Regions from separate parts of the Mus musculus genome. Here regions 2, 3, 4, 5, 6 and 7 are each reported to be linked to region 1. The links are microRNA targets in miRTarBase. Many come from high-throughput screens and were not tested one by one. Region 1 holds a microRNA gene; each other region holds the end of a gene's coding sequence.

Evidence for each region. Region 1 holds the annotated microRNA mmu-miR-1199-5p (UCUGAGUCCCGGUCGCGCGG, at 1,470-1,489, shown strand). A microRNA usually pairs through its seed, bases 2 to 8, with sites in the 3' UTR of a target mRNA and lowers its output. Matches are read on the target gene's strand: a 7mer-m8 pairs with bases 2 to 8, a 7mer-A1 pairs with bases 2 to 7 and ends in A, and an 8mer does both.
Region 2: miRTarBase lists Trub1 as a target of mmu-miR-1199-5p. The part of its 3' UTR that is shown has no 7-base or 8-base seed match.
Region 3: the mRNA of Tle2 is a reported target of mmu-miR-1199-5p. Seed matches in the 3' UTR shown: 7mer-A1 at 2,902-2,908.
Region 4: the mRNA of Helb is a reported target of mmu-miR-1199-5p. Seed matches in the 3' UTR shown: 7mer-A1 at 1,535-1,541.
Region 5: miRTarBase lists Slc17a7 as a target of mmu-miR-1199-5p. Seed matches in the 3' UTR shown: 7mer-A1 at 3,074-3,080 and 7mer-m8 at 2,794-2,800.
Region 6: miRTarBase lists Nploc4 as a target of mmu-miR-1199-5p. Seed matches in the 3' UTR shown: 7mer-A1 at 2,684-2,690 and 7mer-A1 at 2,960-2,966.
Region 7: miRTarBase lists Il6st as a target of mmu-miR-1199-5p. Seed matches in the 3' UTR shown: 7mer-A1 at 1,222-1,228.

What each region holds. Positions count from the first base shown.
Region 1 is chr8:84,009,019-84,013,082 of GRCm38, reverse strand. It overlaps Mir1199 (microRNA 1199), which reads left to right and starts at 1,450; the gene lies at 1,450-1,568. It overlaps Misp3 (MISP family member 3), which reads left to right and starts at 1,363. Exons shown (of 3, transcript NM_001291292.1): 1 at 1,363-1,942; 2 at 2,311-2,372; 3 at 2,591-2,855. The coding sequence starts at 1,399. The coding sequence ends at 2,605.
Region 2 is chr19:57,487,733-57,491,796 of GRCm38, forward strand. It overlaps Trub1 (TruB pseudouridine (psi) synthase family member 1), which reads left to right. Exons shown (of 8, transcript NM_028115.3): 8 at 277-3,273. The coding sequence ends at 536. Among named protein-coding and RNA genes, the nearest start is that of 6720468P15Rik, 19 kb to the right of the region's middle.
Region 3 is chr10:81,589,632-81,593,695 of GRCm38, reverse strand. It overlaps Tle2 (transducin-like enhancer of split 2), which reads right to left. Exons shown (of 21, transcript NM_019725.2): 20 at 3,344-3,471; 21 at 2,851-3,139. The coding sequence ends at 3,364. Tle6 (transducin-like enhancer of split 6) reads left to right here. Exons shown (of 14, transcript NM_053254.2): 11 at 842-983; 12 at 1,657-1,810; 13 at 2,360-2,436; 14 at 2,557-2,791. The coding sequence ends at 2,661. Among named protein-coding and RNA genes, the nearest start is that of Gm32024, 2.9 kb to the left of the region's middle.
Region 4 is chr10:120,081,425-120,085,488 of GRCm38, reverse strand. Helb (helicase (DNA) B) reads left to right here. Exons shown (of 13, transcript NM_080446.2): 13 at 516-1,881. The coding sequence ends at 677. It also overlaps a transcript of Grip1 not described here. Among named protein-coding and RNA genes, the nearest start is that of Helb, 30 kb to the left of the region's middle.
Region 5 is chr7:45,174,454-45,178,517 of GRCm38, reverse strand. It overlaps Slc17a7 (solute carrier family 17 (sodium-dependent inorganic phosphate cotransporter), member 7), which reads right to left. Exons shown (of 12, transcript NM_182993.2): 12 at 2,379-3,767. The coding sequence ends at 3,474. Gfy (golgi-associated olfactory signaling regulator) reads left to right here. Exons shown (of 5, transcript NM_001195255.1): 3 at 1-994; 4 at 1,253-1,426; 5 at 1,887-2,169. The coding sequence ends at 2,080. Among named protein-coding and RNA genes, the nearest start is that of Gfy, 3.1 kb to the left of the region's middle.
Region 6 is chr11:120,378,750-120,382,813 of GRCm38, reverse strand. It overlaps Nploc4 (NPL4 homolog, ubiquitin recognition factor), which reads left to right. Exons shown (of 17, transcript NM_001195023.1): 17 at 188-3,016. The coding sequence ends at 345. Among named protein-coding and RNA genes, the nearest start is that of Faap100, 2.0 kb to the right of the region's middle.
Region 7 is chr13:112,503,890-112,507,953 of GRCm38, forward strand. It overlaps Il6st (interleukin 6 signal transducer), which reads left to right. Exons shown (of 17, transcript NM_010560.3): 17 at 1-2,971. The coding sequence ends at 556. Among named protein-coding and RNA genes, the nearest start is that of Il6st, 42 kb to the left of the region's middle.

The sequences.
Region 1 (4,064 bases):
CCACAAGGGCGAGTGGAAATGTCTCTACGAGTGGTTAGCCCTCACTCTGGGTCATCGACCCTGTCCCGAAACACAGATCGGGCACCAGACAAAGGTCGCTACTGCCTCCCGCTAACCCGGTGGCTCCTCTGCCCCATCTTGGGCCTCCTGGGCAAACTGGTCCAAGCTGACCGCCTTCCAGCCACAATTGCTCGGCTGAGGCCCGGAAGTCCTGTAATGTCTGTGCCCTCAAACACCGCTCATTCTAGCTGGACACTTGGCTGCCAATGCCTTGCGGGCTTTTCTGGAAGGTGGGGGTGGGGAATCTGCCCCAGGGTTTTGAGTGGCGGCAGCGCCGCTGCAAACCAGACAGAGCTGAGCAGCCCCGGGTAGCAGCAGCACCCAGTGCGGCGGCCCCGGGCGACCCTCGGGCTGGACTCGAGCTGTGTTGCCTCAGCGATCAGTGTGCAGAGAAGGCCCGGAGATCACGGGATAGGGGGCGGGGGGAAGGAGAGTGGTGTCGCTGGCCGCAGGCTGGCACTTGCTGACCTAGACTAGTGAGGTCAGCGAAAGACGACCGGGGAAACACTCTGTAAGGAGGCCGTGGTTCAGCGATCAGCGCGGCGCTCCGCTAGAGGTCAGGTCTCCGGAAAGTGATGAAAAAAAAAAAAAAAAAAAAAAAAGACCCCAGAATGCCAGCGTGGTACCAGAGGGAAAGGGCGACACATACCCCCTGGGTAGTGAGTTCAGGGAAGCCCTTTCCGAAGAAGCCACCCCTTCAGTCAACCCGTGTGTTCAGGTGGCGGGAATCCGGAGAGCAGTGGAGGCGCCCTGGCCCATAGGGCGGGTCCAGGGCCACTCGAATCCAGCTGGCAGGTGACGGGGGCGGTGCCCAGTCCTGCCCCCAGGGGATGTTCCTGGAGGCCAGAGGCGGGTCAAAGAAGAGTGCTGGCGACGCCTATGAACCTCGGGCGGCGGCTGTAACTACAGGTACTGCACAGGGCACCGTGTCCTACCTATTTGGGCATCTCAATTCGGCTCTGAGAACTAAAATTTTCAAAGGGCGCCTAACTCCAAACATCCATGTCCTCGGGTGTCCGAGAGTGGAGTCCTGGGGTCGCCTGAAGGCTACGTGTTCCGGGAGCCGCAGAGCCAGGGCACCGAGGGCTGCTGGGGGAGGCAGTGAGGTCCTGGAAACCTCTGGAGAGGAGCACTTGCAGACTCTGGAGCCAGAGAGCCAGGTCCCGCAGGTGCCAGTTGAGCACCGGACCGAGCGCCCGGGCGGTCCACAGCTGGGCCGCCTGGCACTAGTATAACGGAGGTACTGGGGCAGTTGTGCCCCTGTCTCGGCTCAGAGGCCTCCAGGTGTGTTTTCTACCGAAGCCCGCGGCATCCAAACCGGCGCCGGCGGAATTGCAGATGGAGACGCCCATCCAGCGCGAAATCCGCCGCAGCTGCGAGCGGGAGGAAAGCCTGCGCCGGAGCCGGGGTCTGAGTCCCGGTCGCGCGGGCGAGGAACTCATTGAGTTGCGCGTGCGGCCGGTGCTCAGTCGGCCCGGCTCCGGTACTCCGCTGCCGCGCGCCCTGGAGCGCGCTCGGGCGGGCGCGAAGATGCAACGGGACATCGAACGCGAGGCTCACAGGCAGGCGGCGCTGGCGAGCCCCGCGGTTCCGGAGCCTAGCGCCCGGCGGCGGCCGCAGCCGCTGGACGAACTCAAGCGCTTCTTTGAGGCTGCGGCGGAGGACGGCGCTGGCTTGCAGAGGCAGCCAGAGACCGGAGGCCGGCTGCACCCCGCCGTTCAGGACGGCTGTCCGGTACTGGGGCAGTTGCCACCGCTCGTTGCCCCGTCACTGCTGGAGCAGGAGGTGCGACGAGTGCGCGAGCGCGAGCGGGAGCTGCAGTTGCAGCGGCGCAGCATCTACGGCGACGCCGAGGTCCAGGAGCCAGCGCCGAGCCTCACCCGTAAGCGGTCCCCCTGGGCCCTAGAGCTCCAGCTGTCTCCACCTCCAGTGATCATTCATCTGTAGGCTTGCAGACCCTTAACTATTCTCCTGGGGGTTCACCTTCTTTTCTTCACTCCCACTCCTGGAGTGAGGATCCCCACATCCATCAGACCTTGGAACCTTGACTTCTGGCGTTCTCGGGTCCTCTGTAGTACTCGGGTGCCTCTCTACATTGAGTTTGCCTCATTCCTGTTCCTGGGTCCTCAGAACTGGGTGGAGGCCTTCATGGGGAAGAGGGGTGCACACCTGTATGTATATAAGGGGTGCGGCCATCCTCCAGCTGGCAAGAGGAGGGGCAGTCGCGGCTGAGTGTTCCTTCCCCCACAGCGAGCAGGGGAGATGGAAAATTGTCGGTGATCTGGCCTCCGCGGAGACGGGCCTCTGAGAAGGTGGGAGACTCCCTTTCCGATGCTTGTCGGTCTCCCAGCCCTCCCTGCAGCACCTGGGCACTGGGGTGGAGGGAGAAGGTGCCTCTTGGTCCCCTGGAGCGCCACTCTAACCCAAACTCAAAAGTCCTAGACGCGATCCAGAGAGTGAAGAGGAGGTGGAGGCCTAGAGGCCAAACTTCTCCCTGAGGGTGTTCTTTCTCTTCCCCTTTTCCTTCTAGGAGCGCAGACCCTGAGGTCTATGAAGGTTGGGACCTGCGGACAGAAGTAACATACCCTTTGGAGAACCAGGGTAGGGTTACTCTCCAGATCAGCAGAAGGCCTAGAGAGGGAAGGGCTAGCTTTCTTTAATGGCAACTTGAAATCCAGCCCATCTTTGATACTGACTATGGAATTAACCACCTTTCTCCATAAAATTCTCTAGTCTTCCTTGGAAACCCTGCAAAACCTATGAGTGAAACATAAAATAAACTCCTCCTCCCTTTACCTGGGCTTCAGTGCAAGCTATTTTCTACTGGGTCCTCCTTAGTCTGGGTGGGCGGAGGCTGGCAGGTGAAGAACGTTTGGAAAAGCCACCCAAGGATCCCGCCGGAATGTTGGAATTCAAAACGCGCTCTGGTCTCCTTGTTCTGGACTGACTGCGGACCCGGGCTTGGAGGCCAGGGCCCTACTGCCCCCTGGTGGTGAGAACGCAAAATGTTGCTCACCGGCCCACAGACTCCACTCTGGTATCCAGATGTCAGTTTTTATAGGCACCAAAACCATTCTGTGTTCAGGGAGCTGCTAGACCGAGGTGCTATGAAGTTGTATTTCCTGCTCTAGGGATATAAACAATAGTGTAAACATACTAGGGGTGGCTGGAGGGATGGTTTAGGGTAAGGAGTGCTTGCTATTCTTGCAAATGACCCGAGTTCAGTTCCGGGCATCTACATGGGAGGCTCACAACTGCTTATGTCCAGGAGAGCCATTGTCCACTTCTCTCCTCCAGGAAAATCTCAACATACATGGCACCCATTCGCACAAAATGCACACATATTCACATAAATTGAAATAAGGATAATTTTAAAAAAAGAAATACCAATGGTGGTGTTGAAGGATCAAGGACCTGGCAAGTGTTCTGGTGACCATCTTTGCTTGTTTCTTTTAAAACCGTGGCTTAAAAAAAAAAAAAAAAAGATAGAAAAAAGGCCGGGCGTGGTGGCGCACGCCTTTAATCCCAGCACTCGGGAGGCAGAGGCAGGTGGATTTCTGAGTTCGAGGCCAGCCTGGTCTACAAAGTGAGTTCCAGAACAGCCAGGGCTATAAAGAGAAACCCTGTCTCGAAAAACCAAAAAAAAAAAAAAAAAAAGATAAAACCGTGGCTTCGTATATCCCATATTGGCCTGAAATTCCCTTTGTGGTCGAGGGTGACCTAGAAAGTTTTAAAAGATTTATTTTTTGTATTCATGCTGTATGTATAAGTGTTTTGTTGGCTTGTATGTGTGTGTGTGCCTGTGTGTATGTGTGTGTGCCTGTGTGTATATGTGTGTGCCTATGTGTATGTGTGGGCCTGCAGAGGTGAGAAGAGAGTCAGATCCCTTGGAACTAGAGTTCCATGTGAGTGCTGAGAACTGAACCATGATCCTCCTAAAGTACTCTTAGCTGCCAAGCAACCTCTCTTTATTTTTAATTATAGGTGTGTGTTTGTTGGGGTAT
Region 2 (4,064 bases), not on the chromosome of region 1:
TGTCCCCTGATCACATGAGTGGACAGGTCACATTATCCTATTTGCAAGGTAGTGGGAATATTTATGTCCCGGGCTTGCTTCAAATGCCAAGAAAGGAAAACAGGTATAAATTTACATCCCTAAATCATCTTTCCTGCTGAAGCAGTGACTTACCTCAGGCTCTGGGCTCTGGTGCTGGGCTGGCACCCTGGGAGGTCAGAAGTTCTGTTGACTGGAAGACTGTGGATTGTGAACGCCACGCGGCTCATCTTGCGTTTTTCCTTTTGGGTACCGTAGAGCTCTCTTCCTGTGCCAGCGTGCTGGAGCTGACCCGCACCAAACAGGGGCCCTTCACACTTGCACAGCACGCCCTCCCCGAAGACAGGTGGACCATCGATGACATCGAACAGTCCCTCGAGCGCTGCACGTCTCTTCTGCCGGAGGAGCTGACATTTAAAAAACTAAAATCTGACAACTCCAGTGACCAGGTTATAAGCTGTGGATATATAACTCTCAGGGACACAAAGAGAGAAGATGACGCAGTTAAGACACTGTGAGGCCGGCCTGGGAGGATCATTTCCTGGTTGGTGTCTGTCCCGACCAGGAATGCCCATACACCTCTTGAGTTCTTTGCAAGATGTCTTAATGTCTCTGAATGATGGATCTGATTGGATTCAGATAAATAAGTTTTCTGAATTTGATCTTCCCTTAGTCTTTTTCCTATGAAAAAGTTAAACAATATTCTAATGACAGAATCCTGAAGTCTGAGCTGCAGGTTCCACTGGTCTCACAGAAGTGTCAAACTTGCTTTGCTTAGACTCGGGGAGGGGGCGTTCGTTGTTTTGAAATTCTCTGAATACATTTGAAGTGTTCAGTGTCGAGCTGTCCTGTGTGTTTGCAGAGCCTATGGCTGCTGGAAGGTGCTGGTGGGCTGTACTCAGCTGTGACTGTGTTTCTTAAATCCCGGGAATCAATACGTTGTCCTAATACATATCTGTAAATGCACAAACTCCTGCTTTGGCCACTGACAGAATGTAAATAGCGTGAGACGTGATTCATTTCAGATCCTGTATTCAGCAGAGCTCAGCTCCTGTAGCCGTGGACTGTGGCAGCTATTTCTGTGGTCAACCACATGGTATCAAAGTACCAAAAATGTGATTTTCTAGAATATAAACTAAAGAATGTATCTTGAATTAAAATGCTCTCCTGCCTGTTCGTTAGCGCCTCTCTGTGACTGCGGAACCCTGGTCCAGTGACATGGTTTCTGTAGTTATGAAGAATATGATCACATTTTCAAACAGCAGATTTTATGAGTGCTTCATTGTTTTGTTATAGTAATATCTATTCTTTTATTGTGTGTTTTGAGTTCTTGAAGACAAGGAAACTGAGGACACTGGAGAGGCGAAGACACACTGCCTGTCCAGCAGGCACGGAGTGTAGATTCTGCACCCACCCACAGCAGGCGGCTCTCGCTACTTCAGCTCCAAGGGACCCAGCACCCACTTGTGGCCTGTGGGCCCCTGTGAACGAACACCCATGCCTCCACACACATACATAAAATAATTACTTTAAGATATCGAGATTTAACGCAGGATGGCCCCACTCATTATGTAGCCAAGACTCCTCCTGTATCTACCTCCCAAGTGTAGAGGTTAGAGGCATAGGCCACTGACTCCTGCAGGAATGTGGAAAGGTATTGTACAGCTGTGGCAATAGTCAAGGCTTCCCTCATTTACTAACGTATATTTTCAAAAAGAAGATTTATTAAACATTCCGTAAAGTACAAGTTTTTATATTTTTCATACCTTTCCTCTTAGAGGTTGTTGCCTCTAAAATATTTTAAATAAGCAGACTGACGGTTTTATTGTGGTTAATGTAATGCAAACCTAATATAAACAGTTGGGTGCTTCAACAGGGCATTCTCAGCAGACTGGCAACGTGTTTTAATAAAAACGTTAATGTTAACTCAGGGCAGGTAACCTGGCTCAGCTGGTGACACCAGGACCAATGACTTGAGCTTTGACCCCTGGGCAACCTTTGTGAGAACCTCTACCCCAGCAAGTTGTCCACAAACACTCTGCAGTGCGCGTACACCGTGCCCATCCCCCACACATAAAAAACCAAAAGAATGAAATGTTTTTAAATTTAAAAACGAATTCTTAGTATGAGACTGAAAAATACAAGTGTTGTATTATGGTAAATTGATGAATTGGAAGTTACACAGCTTTGAGCCTGATGTCACGGTGAAGCTTTAATCCCAGCACTCAGGAGGCGTGGCCATGTGGAGTTCTGTGAGTTCCAGGTCAGCCAGGACTACACAGGACTTCGGAGTGGGACCCTGTATGTTTATATTTTTATATATTCCTATCTAATGTCCTGTAATTCGTGTAACCAAAGGTGATGTTAGATCCTGCTGCCCGTTAGAACGGACTAGGCTGTACATGGTATGTCTTCATCATGAACAGCTCAAGCCTGAATAGACCATACAGCCTAGAGGTTTCTTTTTTCTTTTTTCTTTTACTGGATATTTTATTTATTTACATTTCAAATGTTATCCCCTTCCCCGGTTTCCCCTCCAGAAACCCCCAATCCCACCATCCCTCCCCCTGCTTCTATGAGGGTGTTCCCCCACCCACCCACCCACTCCCATATCCCTGCCCTGGCATTCTGGGGCATCGAGCCTTCACAGGACCAAGGGCCTCTCCTCCCATTGATGCCCTACAAGGCTGTCCTCTGCTACATATGCGGCTGCAGCCATGGGTCAATCTATACTCTTCTCATAGTGAAGAGTAAAATTTATGAAAAAGCAAGCAAGTTCAAGAAATGGCAGTCAGTCTTTTCCTTTTGTTTGGAAATGCTGGAGAAATTATGCAGGTTTTAAAAATGCCCATAATGTTCACCATCTTAATGCACTCATTTTGGATTTTATTTTTATATTGCATTTTCCTCTTTATTTACATAATTCAGGCTCCTCTGCTCTTACTGATTCTTGAGACGATTTTATCTGGGCACATTTAGTCTTCACGAATATATCTGTTATATCTCTGTACTCAGTTCATTTAAACTACTTTCCCGGGGCTACACACATAAGCAGCCTTTTTTTTTTTCTAGGACACATTCTTGTAATGTGGTTATTTTAGGGGAAGCAATAAGAGCTTGTGATCCCCTGGGCTGTAACATATAGTACCACCATTGTTTGGGATTTTATACATTGTTGCTAAAGTTTCCCTGCTTTTGTGTGACCTACCTTCACACCCTGTTCATTTGTCTAAATAAATGTTTCTTTGTATGTAACACGAGTTCTTTGCAGTAAGCTCTTAGCAGAAGTGGTTTTCCTGGCCTGTCTCAGTTTCTTCTCCAGGTCCTGTGATGAAATACCCTGACAAACGGGACCTAAAGGGGAGTGCTTCCTCTGGCTGCAGCTGAGGATCCCAGAGCGGGCGGTCCAGACAGCTGGTCTCATAAATCTGCAGCCGGGAACAGCAAGCAGCCAATGGTACTGCTCGGCAGGTTTTCTCCATCTAACGCGGCCCAGAGCCCCTGCCTAGGGAGTGGCCCTGCACATTGCTAACACAGACATCCCTCTTCAATTAGCCTGTCAGGATCATCCTCCCAGGCGTGCCCAGGGTTATCTCCCAGGGCACTCAAGAGCCAGCTGGGCTGGCAGCACCAACCTGTGTCTTGCTTTGTAAACATATTAGGTTTTGCTGACTCTTAGGTTTCACTACCGTCAGATGTGTAAATATGAGTAATTAAAATTTATTACGATTTTTAAATATTCTTAACTTTCATGGGTAGCTGAAACCAAGACCCAAGGTCTGAACTAGTTCAACATTCATCCTCTTTAAAATTTAATCAGAACATCAGAAAAATATATGTGACTTATATATTTCAGGCATTGAGATACTTGGCATGATTAAAGTCATTTTACTTATGGGCAAAAAAAGTAAGTTAGAATTTTCTTCAGATATCCCAGCACGGAACATACCAAATCACCTCACTGTGATTATTTAACTCTTAGGTTTCTGAGAAATGTTGGTCTCATGTGAATGTTTAAAATAGTCACAGAATTATCTTCTGACCTT
Region 3 (4,064 bases), not on the chromosome of region 1:
TTTTCGTGGGCTTTGTTTTGTTTTGTTTTTCGAGACAGGGTTTCTCTCTGTGCAGCCCTGGCTGTCCTGAAACTCACTCTGTAGACCAGGCTGGCCTGGATCCACCTGCCTCTGCCTCCCAAGTGCTGGGATTAAAGGCGTGTGCCACCACTGCCCAGCTCATTGTAATTCTTGTAGGACAAGGGAGAACAGAGGCTCAGGACAACCTGCAGGAGCCTGTTCTTCCACTAAGTGGGTTCTTGGAACTCGGCTCTCCTCTACCCACTGAGTGACCTGGGAGCCATCTGGTCAACACTTTTACTTTTATTCATTTTATCTGGCATAGGGTCTCACTCTGTAGACCAGGCTAGCCTTGGAACTCAGTGATCCACCTGCCTCTGCCTCCAGAGTGCTGGGATGACAGGCTTGTGCTGCCAAGCCCTGCTCAGATTTTATCTTAAGGTCGGATCAGGTGACGTTTTCAGGGATGATGCTGAACTTGCTCTGAAGCCTAGGATGGCTCTAACTCGCAATCATCCTCTCTTAATCCCGAGTAGCTGGGATGACAATTGTGAGTCACCACAGCCAGCTTTGGGTCTTCTCCATCACCCTCATTGTTGAGGCAGGGTCTCTATGTACCCTAGCCTGGCCTGGAACTCATGGCAATCCTCCTGCCTCAACTTCCTCAGTACTGGATTTATAGGTATTGGAACATTACCTTTTAGAGGCAGGGACTAGGATGATGTCACTGTTGCCTTCTTGCCAAAGGTGTTAAGAGTACCTCAGGTTGGGTTAGTCCCACGGCTTTGAGGGAATCTTAGGGACTGTCGAGCCTAGGCTTACCCCTTTGCTTTCTGGCCAGGAACCTCAAAGGCCCTACCAATTCGGCCAGGAACCTTGTGGTCAAAGATGACAACATCTGGACAGGGGGTCTGGACGCCTGCCTGCGATGCTGGGACCTGCGGATGGCCAAGGTGTCACTGGAGCATCTGTTCCAGTCCCAGGTGCACAGGAAGGGTGGCTGCACAGGCGTGGGCCTTTGGGTACAATGACAAGGTGCACTCAGTGTCAGGAGAGGGAACAGCCCAGGTCAGCTCAAGGAATTTTTGAGAAGTCACAGGGGTCTTTAAAATACCTTTTGTCATACTGGACAATGGTGGAGAAGGCTGTCGTCCCAGTACTCAAGCTGAGGCAAGAGGATGAAAAAGTGAGTCCATCTTGGGCTACATAGTGGAGAAGGAGCTGGATCTAGGGGGTAGAATGTTTTCCTGTCACTCAGCACTAGGGAGCTGGGGGAAGGAGGGTCAGAAGTTTAAGGTGGTCATCAGCTACACAGGAACCTGAAGGATAGCCTGGGCTACATAAAAGCCGGTCTCAAAGACTATCGTTGCAAATATTTTATGCTGGAGTTCAAGGCCAGCCTGGGCTATGTGGCAAGTCACTACAGCCTAGGCTATGGAGCAAGACCATGTCCCAATAAAACCAACCAGGGAGACAGACTTGTCACTGCCATAGTTAACCCTGTGAAGTTCATACACCTCACAGAAGGAAGGTGTGGAGACACAGTCGGGCCACAGCCAGTCAGTGAGTCATTGGGTGGGCGGGCGTTCGGGCGGGGACCTTGCAGCCTGGCCGCCCAGCAGGGGTCTGATTGCTACCTCTGCCTGGCTCACCCAGATCATGAGCCTGGCTCACAGTCCGACCGAAGACTGGCTGCTGCTGGGCCTGGCCAATGGCCAGCACTGCCTGTTCAACAGCAGGAAGAGGGACCAGGTGCTCACTGTGGACACCAAGGACAACACCATCTTAGGCCTCAAGTTCTCCCCAAATGGTAAGGAGTCCACTGAGCCTGGGCATGGTGGCACACGCCTTTAATTCCAGCACTGGGGAGGCAGAGGCAGGTGGATCTGAGTTCAGGACCAGCCCTGGTGTACAGAGTTCCAGGACAGCCAGGACTCCACAAAGAAACCCTGTCTGGGAAACCAGTCCACTGAGGATGGGTGCACACTGTGGCCACTGGCCTCTCAGAGGACCCTGCTATTTACTCAGTGCCCAGTCAGGGCTTGGGTATTGTCCACACTCCAACATCTTTTATTAACATAATCATAATCAGGAGTTCAGAGTCATCTCTGGCTACTTGGGGAGCTTAAGGCTATCCTGAGCTATAAAAGGCTTCAGACGGCAAAACATAACAAAAGACAAAACAGTAAAACTTTTTGCTGTTCTGCCTTGTTCTTTGAGGCAAGGTCTCATGTAGCCTAGACTCATTCTCATCTCAAACTCTCTCAGTCCTCCTGCCTCAGCCTCCTGGGTGCTGCTGGATGTTAGTGAATGGGTGGGGTCTGCTGTAACCTCCCTGTCTTCCTTCCCCTCCTCCTAGGCAAGTGGTGGGCGAGCGTCGGTATGGGCAACTTCATCACGGTCCACAGCATGCCCACCGGAGCAAAACTGTTCCAGGTACTTATGTGCAGGGGGCACTGGGGGCTCTGTCAGCGGGACCCTCAGCATCATCCCCACAGGGGTCATTTCTGAAGCTCTGGGTGGAGAGGAACTGAGCTCACTCAGCTGCTGTCTCAGGTCCCCGAGGTTGGCCCTGTCAGATGCTTCGACATGACTGAGAACGGCAGGCTCATCATCACAGGATCCAGGGACTGTGCCTCGGTGTACCACATCAAGTACTGACAACTTCAACTCCCCTCCCCTAACTGCACAGTGGTGGATGGCAATGGGTGTGATGGGTCTGCAGTGCTTCTAGAGGCTTCCATGGGGTGTGCAGATCCCGAGTTGCGTGTAATAAAACAATTGAAATGGCAGAGATTTGTCCTTTACCCAGGTTTTGGAAGAACTTTGTAGCTCTGAGCCCTCCAACTTCTGAGTGTTTGCCTTTAATCCCAGCACTCAGGAGACAGAGGCAGGCGGATTTCTGAGTTCCAGACCAGCCTGGTTTACATAGTTTCAGGACAGCCAGTGCTACACTAAGAAACTAGCCCCACCCAGTTTTTGTTTTAAAGAGAGCCAGGAAGATGGTTCAGTTGGTAAAGCCCACACCAGGCAGGATAAGGAGTGAGTGTAAATCCCTGATCCAGCTCTGTAGGTAGAGACAGGAGGATTCCTGGGGCATGTTGACCTGTCTGTGAGGCTCATTAGTGAGATCCACACTCTGAAAATTGGGGCAAAGAGAAATGAAGGCTGATACCCAGTCGGGTCCCTCACCTGTACGCTTCACACACACACAGAAAGAAAGCAAGTTGATAAATGTGTTATATTTCCCCAGTGCCCCAGCCCCACCCAGCCAGGAGGGAGCAAGCCAGGTATGAGCAGAGGGGCCCGTGTCCCGAGTGGCCAGCCATCCAGGGCAGGTGACCTGAAAAGGCAGCAGATGGCTCAGTACACCACCTCATACACAGTGGCCTTCTTGTCCCCTGAGCCTGTCACGATGTACTTATTATTCCTGGAGATGTCGCAGCTCAGTACAGAAGATGATTCTTTGGACTGGGACAGAGAAAGGGGAGGTGAGGGGTGGCCACATGGTCACCACCACCAAGTTTACAGACCAGAAGCATGGGGCTTGGAGGACAACAAAGGCTGGTAGATGTGACTGTTGCCAGGGCCTTGTAGCTGGGGACTGAGCTAGCCTGACTGGTGACTTAAGAGATGGTACCTAACTCATCACAGCTCGACTTCAGATGGCTTCACAGCAAAGTACCTCCCTCCTCTTCCCTCATTCTCTCTCAAACCAACCATACTTCTGCCCCATCCTTCCAAGTGCTAAGATTACAGATCTGTGTCACCGTGTCCTGGAGGGACAGGGGTATCCCTGACATGTGAAGGGTTGATAATGGTACTGCTCTGGATTGGAGACTCCTGGGGTCTTTGATGGTTAGGAAGGACAGGAAATGTGAAAGACCACTATAGCACATCCATTGAAGGTTCAAGAGACTTATTAGAAATTGCCACCTAGGGCTAGTGAGATGGCTCAGCGGTTAAAATCACTGACTGCTTTTCCAGAGGTCCTGAGTTCAAATTCCAGCAACCACATGGTGGCTTACAATCTGTAATGAGATCTGATTCCCTCTTCTGGTGTG
Region 4 (4,064 bases), not on the chromosome of region 1:
TAACCAAAGTCTGATTCTAAAATGCACTGATAGAGAACCCTGTGGAAGATGTATGGTGTTTCCTATCTTTTTTCCTGTGACAACTGAGGATCGTACTGGCCCAGTGTCTGCTGCTCAGGTGTCACCAGAGGCATGAAGAGTATGGTCCTGGCGCTGCCATACCTCATGCCTGGCTCTGTGCTTAGCGACTTGCATCCATCTTGAAATTCTTAGTGCTTGCACAGCGAGCCTTCCTTGAATTCTGTGTCTTGCTCCCAATTATCTAGTAAGCCCGATTGCTACTTTTAGAGGGTTGTATTTAGGCAACGCACAGTGACTTCTCCATGTCAGGCCCTTAGCTAGGTCCAGGGGATGCCACAGTAGGCAGAGGCAGACATAATCCTCCAGAGAGCAGACAGGATTGTTGAGGAGCGCATCATTTCTTCCTCAGGCTCGGTCATGGGGAACGCACGCGCATGTGAGTGGTTGATCGGGGATGTTTTTGTAAAAGTAACTTCATTTTTATTTTCAAACAGGTTGAAGCGCCATCTCCACAGGTGTCCTCTGTGTTTCAGAATATGAGGTTGAATACTCTCACTCCCAGACAGCTTTTTAAACCCACCGACAATCAAGACACAGGTACGGCAGGTGTGGCGGACGACGCCAACGATCCCAGCAATCAGGAGATGGAAATGTGAGGATCTGCGTTCATGGCCAGCCTGGGCAACATCGTAAGACCCTGCTCAGCCCATACCACCACCACCACCACCACCACTGAAAACCTCAAAGCAGAAAAAAAAAAGTTTACTTCATATTAATCAAGAAATTATTATTTTTTTCCTCCCAAGACAAGATGAACATTTTAGCTTCAAAGTTTCAAACTTCAAACTCTGAGAAGACAGCATTATGGTTTTGGGCATTTGTAATTTTGGGCACATGACCCAAAATAAAATTTTTATATTATTTTTAAATCTAAGTTTCAAAAGGAGGTATTCTAAAATCACCCAATCCAAGAAAACCATGATGATTTCAGCCTCTGTCCTCGTGAGAACAGTTGACAGGGGACACAGTTAGGGGAAAAGGTGCTGTATGCTTAAAACACTCCCGTTTTAGGGGCTGCTGGATGTTTTGTGATAATGCCATGTGATCATTGCGGATCTCCTTTGCCAGCACACTGAACCAGCAAAGGTGGACTGATTGTACCTGTTGATTGTAACACATTCAAGGATGCTGTTTGTGGCGACATCCTTGCTGTGATGCTGTGGCCATCACTCCATTCCTGTGCCTGGGGCTCTGCGTACGTGGGGCTTGGATATGCCTTTCTGAGTTGGGAGTAAGTTTAGCATATATCCCATTGTAGGGAAGACTTTCTCTTAAAGCATATTGGTTTTTAAATATTTATTACCTAGTGGTACTGTGGCTTGATCGTGTCTTCCCAAACCTGTGTGAGTTTTTTTTTGGGGGGGTGGGGGTGGGGGGTGGTTTCGAGACAGGGTTTCTCTGTACAGCCCTGGGGCTGACCTGGAACTCACTTTGTAGACCAGGCTGGCCTCAAACTCAGAAATCCGCCTGCCTCTGCCTCCCGAGTGCTGGGATTAAAGGCGTGCGCCACCACTGCCTGGCATGGCAGAGTGGTAGAGAGAGTTTTTCCATCTTTCTCCCTTCTTTTGGTGCTGGAACTGAAGCCAAGGTCTCATTCCTTCTAAGAAAGCACTTTACTGCTTAATTTTATTCCTGATCCTAAACATAACTTTTATATGTACCAGGAAGTAAACAAACAAGACCAGTCATGTGATGCAGCTGATGGTAATGCTTTTGTTATTTCGGGTGCCCTGGGACTGATCTGCAGCATTTCTGAGATAGACCTTTGTGAGAAATAAATCCACTATTCTTTTACTTCATCGCCCAGTCTGTGGTTTTCTTTTATAATAACACGAGGAATTAAGACCGATGGTAAAATAAAAAGTACTCATTGGCTTGACATTAATAGTGTTGAGATAGAATTCTATACAGTTTACGCACTTAAAGAGCACAATTCGGTAGCTTTTAGTATAGTCAATGAATTGTGAAGCGGTCATCGCAGTCAACATTAGGGCATTTTTGTGAACCCAAGCCTGCACCCCATCAGGCATACTCATCCACTCCAGCTAATGGGTTTGTCTCTGTAGACTCGCCTGTAGTGCACAGCCCCTCTAAGCGAAGCCATACAGAATGAGGTCCTTTCGGACTTCTTTCCATAACCATATTATTAAGATTTCACCCACATTTTATCAGTAATATATTGGTAGCTCAGCTCACTCATTGCTAAATAAGACTCCTTTGCATGGATATATTGAATGTAGAGTTTATCCCTCCATTAGTGGATTGACATCAGGGCAGTTTCTCCTCTGCCCGTTGTAATGAATACTGCTCTGATCTCTCCAGCAAACATTTTTTGTGGGTAGATGTATATTTTCATTTCTTGGGGTTATGCCAGTGGATCTGCTGGGGCCATGGAGTAAGTCTGCCTTAGACTCTTAAGCCGTTAGCATTTTGCATTCTCACTGGTAGTTAGGAGAATTCGTGTTTCTCCAAATGGTGTGTGTGTGTGAATATGGTGTGTGCGTATGGTATATTTATACATATGTGTGTGCGTACATGTATATATGGTATCTGTGAATATGATATATGTATATGGCATACATGTACATGAGAATTTGTACGTGTCTGATGTCTTCATGTCGTAAATGTTTATGTGTGTGCATGTGCATATGTGTATGTTGTCTATGTGTGAATACACTGCATGTGTATGGTATATATGTACATGTGTGTGTACCTGGTATATGTGTGTGCATGTGTGTGGTATCTGTGTGAATATGGTGTCTGCATGTGGTATATATGTATGTCTGTGTTTATCTGGAGTATGTGTATAGTATGTGTCTATGTGTGTATGCACATGTATATAGTAGTGTCTGTGTATGAATATGATGTATGTGTATGGTCTATGTGTACCTGTATGTGTGTGTTGTGGGGGTGCATGCCTCTGTTTGAGCATGAAGGAGCATGTTGAGTGTTCGGCTCTGTCCCTCGGCTTCAGTCCTGAGTCAGGGTGTGTTAGTGACCCAGAACTAGGCTGATGGCCAGCAGTCTCCAGCAGCAATCCCCAGTGAGCCTCCTGTTCTGTCTCCTCACACTGGGGTTTCCGGTGTGCACGACTATATCTGGCTTTTTACACGGGCTCTGGGTATTGGACCTCACCTCATCTGGCTTGTGCAGCAAAGGATCTTACTCTGCCCTGTCTCTCCAGTCCTCCTCCTCCTCCTCCTCCTCTTCCTCCTCCTCCTCCTCCTCGTCCTCCTCCTGCTCCTGCTCCTCCTCCTCGTCCTCCTCCTGCTCCTGCTCCTCCTCCTCGTCCTCCTCCTGCTCCCCCTCCTCCTCCTCCTCCTGCTCCTCCTCCTCGTCCTCCTCCTGCTCCTCCTCCTCCTCTTTCTCCTCCCCCCCCTCCTCCCCCCCTCCTCCTCCTCCTCCTCCTCCTCCTCCTCCTCCTCCTCCTCCTCCTCCTCCTCCTCCTCCTCCTCCTCCTCCTCCTCCTCCTCCTCCTCCTCCTCCTCCTCCTCCTCCTCTTCCTTCTCCTTTTCCCCCCTCTCAACTGACTTCTAAAGTATTGCCATCCCAGGAGTAAGAGGTATCATTTCATTCTGATTTTGAGTTGTATTTTCCTTATGGTTAAAGATGGGGAATAGCTTTCATATATTTACTGGTCTTTAATATGTCTTTGAAGAAATATCTATTCCTATCTGTTGACTTTTATATTAGGTTCATATCAAAATCTGAGTTTCTTATATATTCTACATATAGTCCTTTATAAAATAACAATGACCTGTATTTTTCTCTCATTCTGTGAAATTTTACATTGAAGGGCACATTTTTAATTCCAGTCATGTCTATCATCAGTTATTGAGTTGCTTGTGGTTTTTATGTTACGGTCAACAAACTGTGGCCCGTCCAAAGCCATGAAGATTTATTTCTGTTTTTCTAAGCCTTTAATAGTTTTTGCATTCATGTCTAGATGTTAAACTTTCATTTAGCCCCTGTGTAAACTGAGA
Region 5 (4,064 bases), not on the chromosome of region 1:
ACTAGAGATCAACCTACCCCAGGATCCTCTGCAAGCCATCCTCCTGAGCACTCCGAGACACCACCCTCAGCTTCCCCTCACATCTCCACAAAAATCTTAAGGGAGACCCCTAGCCCCAGCCCCTTTCTTTCTCTAGAGACTCCCATACCTGACCAGCTCACATCAGTAGCAGAATCTCAGGGTACTTCACAAATGAGTCCCTCCAGAGCAACACTTGGTAAACCTTCTGAGACCCCCAAACCTGACCCAACTGGAATTTCCCCGTCTGACTCTCCAGAAACCCCAAAACCTAACCCCTCCAACACCTCACCCCCAGAGTCTCCTGAGTCTGTATACACTGACCCCACACCAACTCTACACCATGAATCCCCTGAAATCTCCAAAAGAGATACCCCCAAACTCTCACCTGGTGAAGAGTCTAAGATACCAAGTCCCAGACCCACCCAATTCCTCAGCTCCAAATCCCTAGAGACCTACGACCCCAGTGCCACGAGACACCTAAATTCTGCACTGGAACCAACCACCCACCCTGACCCTACAGAAAGTCCACAGTCAGTCTTTCTCACCACTCACAACTCTAATCCCACTGTTGTCCCCCAAACCCAATTCCCCACATCCCCCAGCCAAAATGTAACAGAAACGGCTAGGACCTCTGACTTGGAACCCAGCTCTAGTCTTCCCACCCAGCCAACAACCTTCAGGGAGGAAGCCACCACTCCCAGTGAGCCAGGCTTGAGTCCCAGCCCAGAAGCCCCTGCAGTCACCCGAGTTGCCACCCCTGGCCTGTCCACCTCAGATTCCCCAGGGACCAAAGAGCTGCACGTACCCCAGAACTCAGACCCTAAAGGGCCAGATATCCCTCTTCCCTCAGCAAGGATTGCAGGGCCCCCCGCTCCTCTGGAGCACCCCAATCAGGTAGCACCTGCCCCTCAGAGACACAGCCGAGGAGACACAGTCAACACTATCATCGTGGTGGAGCGAGTGAAGGAGACGGGTGAGGGGCCTGAGGGCTGAGACTGGAGCCCTAGGGCTGAGGGAGGAGGGGTAGATCTGAATCCCTGGGTATGAAATGGGGGAGTCTGGAACTAAGGGAGGAGAGTTGGGTCTGACAGAGAAGGGCTGGGTTTGGATCCCTGGTGTGAGGGAGTGAGGCTGGGACTCCTGGGTCTGAGGGATGAGGGCTGGGTCTGGACCCCCGTGTTTGAGGGAGGAAAGTCCTCAGCTCAGGTTAGATGGCTGTGTCGTTCCTCAGGGGTGACTCTGGTCAGCCGCCCACGAGGCTCCGTCGGTGGGGCTCTGTGCCTGTTCTTCGCGGGGACAGGGCTGCTGATTGGCATCTTCCTGCTGCTGTGGTGCCTCTACCGCCGAGCCTCCAGACACAGGTCCTTTGCCCACCACCGGCTCCGGGACAGCGGAGATGAACCAGGTGAGTGCTTGCTCGCCCGAGAAAGACCTTATCCAGGCCTTACAGGGGACTTAGAACACCCTTCTAAAGAACACACACCCCTGTCCAAGGTAAGTATAAGGCTGACCCCACCATGGTCTGGTCCCAGCCCGTTACATCTGAAATTATTCCTCTTCCTCCTCCCACTTCCTCCTCCTCTGAGATGGGATCTCAAAGCTCAGATTCCCAAGACACACACACACACACACACACACACACACACACACACACACACTAACTACACTCCCTCTCTGAGCCTAAATTCCCCCCATACCCACACACCCTCTCTGCTCAGTTAAGCCCCGCCTAATTGTGTACCACACACCCCATCGAGGCTCGCCCACCACCACCACCACCACCTCCCCCCCCCCATGCGCCTGCACGCACGGACATTGCAAGCCCTCCCATGGCCAGCCACCTGACGAGTCCCTCGTCCTTGCAGTCTTGCACCTCGATGCCCCGAAGGACCCGCTGGATCTCTACTTCTACGCCCCCGATGCGTGGGTGCCCTCCCACATCGCCACGCAGCCTCCACCTTCCACGCCCCCGCTGCCGCCCAAGCTGCCCCCTCCGCCTCGCGGGCCGCAGCGCCTGGAAGCCCTGTCGCCCGCCGCACTGTCCCCCAACTTCTTCTGAGGACCGCGCCGCAGACCCGGCCCAGCTTCAATGCCTTAGAGGGACCCCAGAGCCAGGCAGAACTTCCCAATAAACCACCTCGCCCACCATTGGAATCTGTGCCTCAGTGCGCGGCGGGGCGAAGGGGCAGAGGGGAGGCGCAGCCCAGAGCAGCGGGGAGCAGAGAAACTGAGGTGCAGACCGGGCGGCGGCGGAGGGCTGGGGTCCGACTGAGTCAGGGGGAACTGGGGGGTCGAGCGTAGGGCAGCAGGAAGAGACCGGGGTCTGCACACCGGGCCCACACCACGCGACCACCTGATCCGTACACCAGAGCGTTTATTGGGAGTGGGGTGGGGCAGGGCAGGATTTACGTCACAGAGACAGACACCAAGACACGACCCTGCCCCAGGAACAACCCTCTCCTCCCAGCCCCGCTCCCTTTCCTGGGATTCTGTAACTTCTCTCACACACCTCACCCCCACCCAGATTTCTACGTTGAGAGAGGGGTGTCTATGAGGGGAAGCACCCCAGATTTGGAATCATTTAGCCCCTGAGGGACACACAACAAATGGCCACTGAGAAACCGAGGGCGGCCTGGAACCACCCAGGAGAATAAAGTGCAAGGATTTGGGGGGGGGGGGGCGAGGGGGATCCTGAAACCACCACGGGGAGGAAGAGGTGGCCTCGAGCCGCTGAATTAATAGCTTTGGGCAGCCACTACTGAGACCTGAAAACTGAGTCAGAAAAAGAGCACGGGGTGAGCAGAGCCATTTTGGCCATTTCCCTGGACAATGATTGTACTAAGCTAAGGTCAAGGCCCGGCAAAGTGTGCTGGTGAGGGGACGAGGGAAGAAAAGGGGGGTGGGGGGACTTGAAACCGCCATTTTCCCTCAGAAACGCTGGTGAGAATCAGTCCTGGGAACGGCGGCATTGGTGGTTAGGTTAAACCAGCTTGGAAAAATGTAGAATTGGTTAGGCGAGCCTTGAAACTAATAGAGGACGACCATGAAGTCTTCTGAGTAGGGGACCACCTGAATAATCTCGGGGTAGCCTGAGAATCCCTGGGGTCTTGGGGGAAGGGGTGAAACCTCAAAACCACAAGAGAGGAAGAGGTTGAACTGTCCCTCCAAATAAAGCCCTCAAAGGGGAGATTTGAGCCCACACAGGCAGAAACAAGCGGAGAACGACTTTCAGGGGAGTCTGGGTATCCTTGAAACTGCTAGTGTGCAGCTTCACCCCCCGCAGGAGGCAGTTGAGAGGGAAAGAGGGCTGGTCGGACAGCACTGGGAACAAGGGAGGACTTGCATCTTAAGCCTGAGGCAGGGGAGGAGTGGGGTTCCTCGACACTGCCGCTCAGGCTAGAGGTGTATGGAGTGGAAGTCCTGGAAACTGCCCCACAGTGGGAGGCCCGTGGTCAGTAGTCCCGGACAGGGGGCGGGGGCCTCGGAGGCTGCACTGTGCTGTGTGTGGCCCCGTAGGACGGAGGCGGCGCGGGGGGCGCCCCTGGGGGCTCAGCCTCGTCCTCCATTTCACTTTCGTCACTGCCAGCCAGCTGGTCGTGGCCAACAAAGCCACACTTCTCCTCGCTCATCTCCTCCGGCTCTGCCCACGGCTGCTTCTCTCCCGAAGCAAAGACCCCATAGAAGATGACACCGCCGTAGTGCACCAGGGAGGCTATGAGGAACACGTACTGCCACTCCTCCCGCGTCTGGGGGCAGACAAGGCAGATCAGAGAGGGATGGATGCACACCTGTCAGTTCAGGGGCTCTGTAGGGTGAGGCCGGAGGGTAGCCAGCATGGGCTACACGTCTTGAAAAATACATATATTGGGGCCTGAAAGGTGGCTCAGAGCTTAAAGAGGTCTTACTGCTTGCTTTTGCAGGAGACCCAAGTTCGGTTCCCAGCATCCAAACGAGGCTGCTCACAGTCACCTCTGTAGGCTCAGCACTCACATGCATATACATACATTTAGAACTAATACGAAGCCAGGAAGCGGAGGCAGGTG
Region 6 (4,064 bases), not on the chromosome of region 1:
ACCTAGCAACAGGGAGCAGACTTCAAGTGCAAGTAGGAAGGTGTTTGCTGACTGGAGCCAGAACACTTGATGTGCTGACAGTTTGGGCTTACGCAGTAGGGGCTTTGAGCCACCCTGCCCTGCCATCTGGCTCTAAGGAGATGTCTTTTTCTGTGCAGGCATGACGTGTTCTCACTTTACCCTACAGGCACCGTTGGTGTGCAGCTCCCAGGCCTCCACGAGTTTGGTGCAGTCGGGGGCTCTGCACGCGCTGCTACCTCTGCCATGTGGGCCTGTCAGCACTGCACCTTCATGAACCAACCTGGCACAGGCCACTGCGAGATGTGCAGCCTCCCCCGGACCTAGGGCTCTGGGCCTCTGCTGCATGGGACTGGGCCAGCCCAGCCCTCTGAAGTCTGGAGCGCCACATGTTCCCTATAAGGCCTGAAGCCCACAGCCCTGAAACAGTGGGGCCAGCTGCCCTGGTATTCCAGATACCCTGAAGCGTCTCCGTGCAGATCTTGAAGAGAAAGAACCTCGGCTGCTGTGCTGGGGTTGAACAGAGCCTCCCACCTGGGAAGGCAGAGCAGACCTGCCCAAGAGCTCCCCACACGCCTCACGTGTTGGAGGGACTGAACACGTCCAGCCAATCACCTGAAATTGGGGTGTACAGAGAGGGTGCTGCTGTCACCCAGCTATCTCTCCTTCCTCTATGATCTTTGTTTTCTGCCTTCCCACCTTCTCCCCCAGTGTTCGGATGAATGTTCCTGGCTGTCTCTGTTCCCTTGCTGTGGGGCTGTGTCCCTCCTTTGGGAGCATGTGTGGCTAGGGTGTGGCAGCCTTTGTCTGACATGCAGTATAGTAGGTCCCTGACCTTTACTTGCCTGAAATCAGCAGTTATCAATAATTCCCACCCAGGAAACTTTTATTTATTGTTTTTTAAAGATAAAACTGCACAGATGGGAGTGAGAGATTTACCTCTGCTCCTTCCTCCTTCAGTGCAGCCCCTCTTGGGTGGTTTATTGGGCAGGAGGCCACCATCATTTCTCCTCAGAAGCAAACCTCAGTGCCTGAGACTTTCCTGCCACGCTGCAGACAGTGGCAGTTGGTAGCATGGGTGGTTCATCAGAGCAGTGGTGGCTCTTGCCTGGCAGTCAGCCCCTTCAAGTCTGGACAGCCCTGGAGTTCTGGTCCCCTCTCCTAGCACTGTACCTTTACCCAGCGAGTCCCCACACTGTGGTCTTCTTGCACAGTGTGTGGCAGTTGAGAAAGCCTAGAAAAGGTGCCCATTTGACCACTGTGAGGCAAATAGAAACAGTCCCTAAGGGTCCTATGTGGCTGTGTTGTGACAGCCCTTACCCAGGTAAGAGATGGATGTCGTGATGCCTCGTTGCCTTAATGAGAGCTGAGTCAGCTGTCCTTCACCCTGGGAAAGTCCATGCCAGCTGTGGACTGCTGGGAGCCATGTTTGTCACCTTAGTAGAATGCACCAATGTTCCCTTCTGCATCTCTGGCCCTGTGGACAGAACACTTATTGCTAGGTTATCTATCGTGTGGCAGGGCTGGCCAGCACCGTTGGGTCTCACCTGGCATGAGATCTGAAGCTAAAGCCCTGGGACTGTGGAGCCATTGGGCTTGGTTTGGTATTGACAGGGTCATCCTGAGGGGTTAGCAGTGGTAGAGAGCAAGGCAAGTGATCTCTCCAGCTACCTGCCAGCAGTAGAGAGAGAGAGAGAGAGTGCTGAGGGCTGGTAGTGTCTCTGGCTAGGGCTTCACCTTTCGGTTTTTTGTTTTTTGTTTTTTCTGGTCCCTGAGTCTGGCATTTCTGTCTGTGACTTAGCTATGTTTCTGATGCCAATCACACTAGCACCATTACATGCTGGGCAGGTGCTGGGCAGCACAGACGCTGGAGACCTGTTTGCCACTGCTTGTCCCCCATTCATCTTTGTCTACAAAGTTAATTACGTTCTCATGTTCTGGCATCCACATAATTCTTGTTTTCTCTGACTTATAGCTAAAGAAATTTTTGTGGTTTCTCTGCTTATGGTTTTGAGTTACTCTTTGTTCAGTAATGCACTTTATTTTATTGTCCAAAGAGAGTCAAGCTAAAGCTACCACCTTGGGGTGAGCCCTACAGAAGGTTCAGACCCGGGCAGCTCAGCTACCTCCTTCTACATGGAGGTGGCCCTGGTCCCACCTCTAATCCCTACTGTCATCAGGCACTACAGCCCAAAAAGAGGTGCTTGTGAGCACACCCACCCAAGTGAACCCAGTGGCTGCCATGGTCCTCTTCAGGCTCAGAGATGGGTCTAGCCCTGGCCTTGCTCTGATCAGCCTGCTCCTGGGGCATGGGTGCTCCCGCTTCTGCTCTGCTTGGGCTCACAGGTATGCACTGGCTGGGTGTGGATGAGTATTTTTCTGACCCCAGCCCTGCAGTGGAACCTAATAAAAGCACCTGAAGCGATTGTCCTGCTCCCAGTGCATTGTTCCTGTGCCCAGAACCACAGTCCACCGGTGTGGCATGGATGTGTTGCCTTGTAAGGACAGTCCTGAGTGTTAGAACCTGGTGTGCAGAAGATAAACTGACGATGCTTCCAACCCTGGAGGTGACTCCGATGCTGCAAAGAATTCATCTCCCACTTGTTTCCACTCAAGGTGTCTTCAGAGCAGCCTGGGGCTTGGGCTCAGATCTGTTTCAGAGACCACTCAGAAATGATAAAATAGGTCCAGGCTTCACCCTTGGGTTAAAGTTGGTTTTTGTTTTTTTGTTTTCACTTAATTTACAGCTGGGCATAGTGGTCTGTGCCTTTATTCCCAGTACTCTGGAAGCACAGACAGGCTACAACTATAAAGCCTAAGAAATAAATATTTGGGGCTGGGGGGTGTCCAGTTCCAGACAGAGCTTTTTGTTTTTTGTTTTGTTTTGTTTTCATAAGCGTTGCTGTTGTAGAACTAGCTTTGTAGACCAGCCTGGCCTTGAACTCAGATCCACCTGCCTCTGCCTCCTGAGTGCTGGGATTAAAGGTGTATACCACCACACAGCTTTTATTTATTTAATCGTATGCTTTTGTACACATAAATACCTTAGTAAAAGATGTAGGAGCCCCTGGAGCTGTTGGGGGTTGTGAGCTTCCCTATGTGGATGCTGGGAATCAAACTTGGGTCTTCTGCAAGTACAGCGTGTGCTCTTACGGCTGAGCCGTCTCTCCAGCCCCAGGATGTTGTTCTGACATCTACACTAGGGTTACACTATGCTCTCTAAGTTCACAGGACGTTTTGTGCCTGGTTGTGACCCCACACACCTTTGTAGATTTGTCCGCTGTAATTTTCAGATGAACGTTCTTTTAAGAGTCAAGGTTGCCTGCGCTGGCTCCGAACTCAAGTATTCCTGCCTTCAGCCCTCCGAGTAGCTGCCACTTCAGAAGCATAGGCAGTGGTGTCTAGTTTCTGATGAGTGCTCTGGAAGAGTAGTATTTCATCTTGTACTTGGAGCCTCATTCCAGGGTAGGATTCTCCGCCTGCTCCCTCAGGGAGCCCCAAGAAGAGCTGTCATTGAAGAAAATGTGGTTTCCCTTAGACCCAGCTCATTAGGGTTTTCAGCATCCTCTGCTGTAGAATCACATCCTGCCGCGTTCATGAGTGGAGCAAAGGCTCTTCTGGATGGCTGGCCTGAAGCACCTTTTTCCCTATCAAGGGACTGAATGGTGTGCTGTGCCACCCTACTCCTGAAACCCCGTGCTATACGGGTGGTGCTCTCAAGTGCTGTCACAAAACGGTGCCAGGGCAAGTGCTGCATACAAGCCTTGCACCAGAGCAACCTCTGCTCAACAGGTAGGTGATCCGAGGCAAGGGCCCTGACGCGGGCCCCAGTGAACTTGCAGGACTGCATTATTTGGCTACCCTCTGGCTTTGTGCCTCCCGTTGTGGCTCTTTGCTAAGCCACGGTGTTTGGGGGCGTTCCCGCCCTCTAGCGGACCGTAGAGCAACTGTCCCCGCCCCTGCAGCAGGCTCCGGCCACGCCTCCGCAGCGGCCGCTTTACGGCGGAGGCCGCGCCGCGCCGTGGGCGGCCGTAAAGCCTGGAGGC
Region 7 (4,064 bases), not on the chromosome of region 1:
CTCCTCCAGGCCCAGCATCTCCAGCAACGAGGAGAATGAGTCTGCTCAGAGCACCGCCAGCACGGTGCAGTACTCCACTGTGGTGCACAGCGGCTACAGGCACCAGGTCCCGTCCGTGCAAGTGTTCTCAAGGTCCGAGTCCACCCAGCCCCTGCTAGACTCGGAGGAGCGGCCAGAAGACCTGCAGCTGGTGGATAGTGTAGACGGTGGGGATGAGATCTTGCCCAGGCAACCGTATTTCAAGCAGAACTGCAGTCAGCCTGAAGCCTGTCCAGAGATTTCACATTTTGAAAGGTCAAACCAGGTTTTGTCCGGCAATGAGGAGGATTTTGTCAGACTGAAGCAGCAGCAGGTTTCAGATCACATTTCTCAGCCCTATGGATCCGAGCAACGGAGGCTGTTTCAGGAAGGCTCTACAGCGGATGCTCTTGGCACGGGGGCTGATGGACAGATGGAGAGATTTGAATCTGTTGGAATGGAGACCACAATTGATGAAGAAATTCCCAAAAGTTACTTGCCACAGACTGTAAGACAAGGTGGCTACATGCCGCAGTGAAGGACTGGCTCCTGAACTTCAGCAGGAACTGCAAAATAAAGCTAAAGACGAGTGGCTTCAGATGAGAAACAGTCCTCACTCCCTGAAGATAGGCATTGCCTCTAAGGACAAAGTCACACCTGGGCCGTCTCCATTCCAGAGTAGCTGGAATTCTCCTTCAAGCACTACATGAACTGACTTTATCCTCTATAGCTGGAGGACTCTGTGCTCTTTCAGAATGTTTGCACTGCCGAAAACAAAGTGTGTCTGAGTTTATAAAGCTGTTGGTTTGCTACATAGAAAACGGGGGATTTAAATGAGCCACAATGTCATGGCATCGTTCAGCTGGGCTGGTTTTGATGAGACTGACCATCCAGATGCCAGCGAGAAGGCCAGCAGCATCATTTAAAAGTGCCCTGTGGCACAGTGTCCAGATTATGTCATCTAGAAGACGAAAGAATGGAGGGGTGGCTCGTTTCTGGGTCTGTCAGAGAAGCATGGCCTGCTCCTTGCTGTTGGTATCGATGCCGGTTACTACTGAGGAAGAGGATAAACTTTAAAGAGAAGCAACATAGAAGCACCCGCTTTCTTATAGTCACCTACAGCCTCCCAAGAAACTGCTTATTATTGAAAATGTCTTTCCGAGTCAATTTCATCCACCCTATAGTGGACCAGGCTGGCCTCAAACTCAGAGATCTGTCTGCCTCTGCCTCTGCCTCTGCCTCCAGAGTACCGGGATGAAAGGCAGTGCACCACCACTGCTCCACTTACGAAGATTGCTGTTTTTAAAGACTTAAGTTGTTGACATTTTTCTGAACACACATAACCACACCAGGGACAGATGATTCTAGAGACTGGTTGAGGAAGCACTTTATCCAGAATGTCTTCAACTTTAAATTACTTTAATTGACTCCACCTTGTTTTGATTTTCAAGAATAGCAGGGTGTTTGTTGAAGGGTGGCATTTCCCAGAGCCTCATGCAGTCCCAGAACACACATCCCAACCATGTCAGCGACCACCACAATGACAGAAGTCCTCCTACAGAGCTGAGGAAGCTGGAAGGGTCCTGCTAGTTTGCAGGGTGGGCTTTGAACCCACAGCCCTGTGCATGCTAGACATTCACTCTACCGCTGAGCTGCTCCTCCGCCCGGCTCATTATGTCATCTAGGCTCTCGTGATCCTCCTGGCCCAGCTTCCTGACTGTCTGGGACTGTGGATGTGTGCTGTCACACACCCAACCAGGTCTTTTTAATATCTGCCATTTATGAGGTAGAGTTTTTACACGACTTAGGACTATCTTAAACCTATTCCTTCTAGTTGCTTTATTAAGGAATAGCCTAGGCATCCAGTGTTTAGCACTAAAGCCATTAATGTATTTGTGCCTAACTTCCCAGTGTGACATGGAGGTGGGGGCTAAAGGTAGACACTGGGCAGACAGGAATTGGCTGAGCGCCGTTAGAGGCTGATCACTAAGTGTGCTCACAGGAAAAGGGTTGAAGTTTCAGAGCATGGGCACCCAGATCATTTATAGCGGTTACCACACAGTGCCTAGGAGGAGTTGATATGCACTTAGTTGGATGCAGTTTCACCTTTTACTCTCAGAAGGTTGTTTATATTCTACTTGCTGATGTGTTATCATTTATATTTTTATACTGGGTAGTCCTTTTCTGTGTTCTTTCACATGTATAATCCTCGTGAGACTGTACATGCTTTGCTCTGGTATATTCAGTTGCCTCCTTGGCAAAACCAGCCTGGAATTGCCAAAATGCCGGAAGTGAAGGGAGATGGTGAAAGTCGGGCACAGGAAGGCCAGGTCAGGGGCAGAGAGACCAGAATTCACACTACAAGGCTGGCACCATTGCCATTCAAGTTGGACGTCAAAGCCTGATCCCAGTTAGGACTGAGTTTTCTATGTATATATCTGCCAGGAAGTTAACACTTGCTGAATTTCTCATCTTCTCACAGTAAGCAGTCTAGTTATGGGACTCTATCCATGTTCAGCTGTGACTTCCCTCATATCAGACAGTGGTGCTGTGAACGTTGCAGTGTGAAGTCTGTACTGGCTAGGGATGGTAGCCCAGCGTGAGTTCAGGCATGAACATAGAGGCCACTGAAGGAAGAGCCTCCTGGAAGCAAGTTGGCACGTTAAATCCCAGACAGAAAGTGTCCCAGGGAGCCAGGGCCTCCGCCAGCAGGGAGGGGGTGTGCTCACTGCAGGAACGTTCATTTAGAAGATGTACCATGGAGCACCTCCCTTTGCTCTAAGAGAAAACCCATCTTAAAGTTCATCTTGAATACAGACTTCGCTCGAGCATGTTTTAGAATAATCTGGATGCTGTACCTTGTACCTTAGGTAGCAGAGAAAGTAATCTGGCGTCTTTCTGTAAAACCGTCTAATAAAGCTAGTTCTGCCCGTGGGCTCGTATTCTTTCGTGTGTAAAAATGTAGTGTAAGGCGCACCAGAGAGCAGCCTGGCTTGTGGCCAGGGCTAGTCCACTGCTTCCCATGCAGTTGCCTCTCGAGGACTCAAAGAAAAAGGAAGGTTTAATGCTGAGTCGCCGTTACAAAACCTAGCGTTCCCATCTTTTCCTCACTCAAACATAAAATCTCAGTCCTTTGAAAAGCATGAGTCACTACTCGGGGGCACAGAGAAGCAGAAGTAGGAAAAGTGCAGCCCCTGCCCCCCTCGTTCTCCCGCCTTCAGATCATTCCATCTCTGCACAGTTCTGCTGTGGTCATCAGCTCGGCCAGGATGGACGGTTTCGGGGGGGTTTTGTTTGTTTGTTTTTGCTTGTTTGGGTTTGTTTTGTTTTGTTTTTCTGTTTGTGGTATTTTGGTTTTTTAAGACAGGATTTTTCCGTGTTGCCTTGGCTGTCCTGGATCCGCCTGCCTGCTGTGCCACCACTGTCTGGTGAGACTGTAGTTCTTATTGTGAACTTAAAGGGTTAAAGAGGTAGAAGGATTTACTGGACTGTAGTTTTTGATTTTTTTTTTCCTCAACCCTAATTGTAATAATGGTTCTTAAATGCTTTAGCCTCCCTTGTAGCCCACCACCCACCAGAGGTAGTGGAAAAGAAAGGATGTGGGGGAAGTGGACCTGTTTAAAAAATGGTTCTTTGGAGCAACTCCTGTGTGCACTGTCAGAAAATCAGCTGTTCAGTTGACAGGTCAGCAGTGGCAGCTCCATCCACTCGCAAACATGTCAAGGCTACACCAGCAGTCCAGGTCGGTAGTAGTGTCAGGATAGCAGCAGCAGTGGCATAACTAGCAGGAATGGCCAGGCCTCGGCCTCAGCACAAGTCAAGCAGGAAGAACTCGAAGTTCTCAGCTGTGCCTCTCAGTGAAACGAAGATATGTAAGGCCATCACCATCCGTTGAGTCCTGTATATACTCCCTCCAAATATCAAGTGTCCTCGGGCCTGGGCTCACCTCGGGTCTTGTGTGTGAGTCTGTATCAGCTGACATCACTCTGCCAATCAGCCCGCGTCTGCGGAAGCTGCAAGCCACCAGAACCACATCAGAAGTTTTT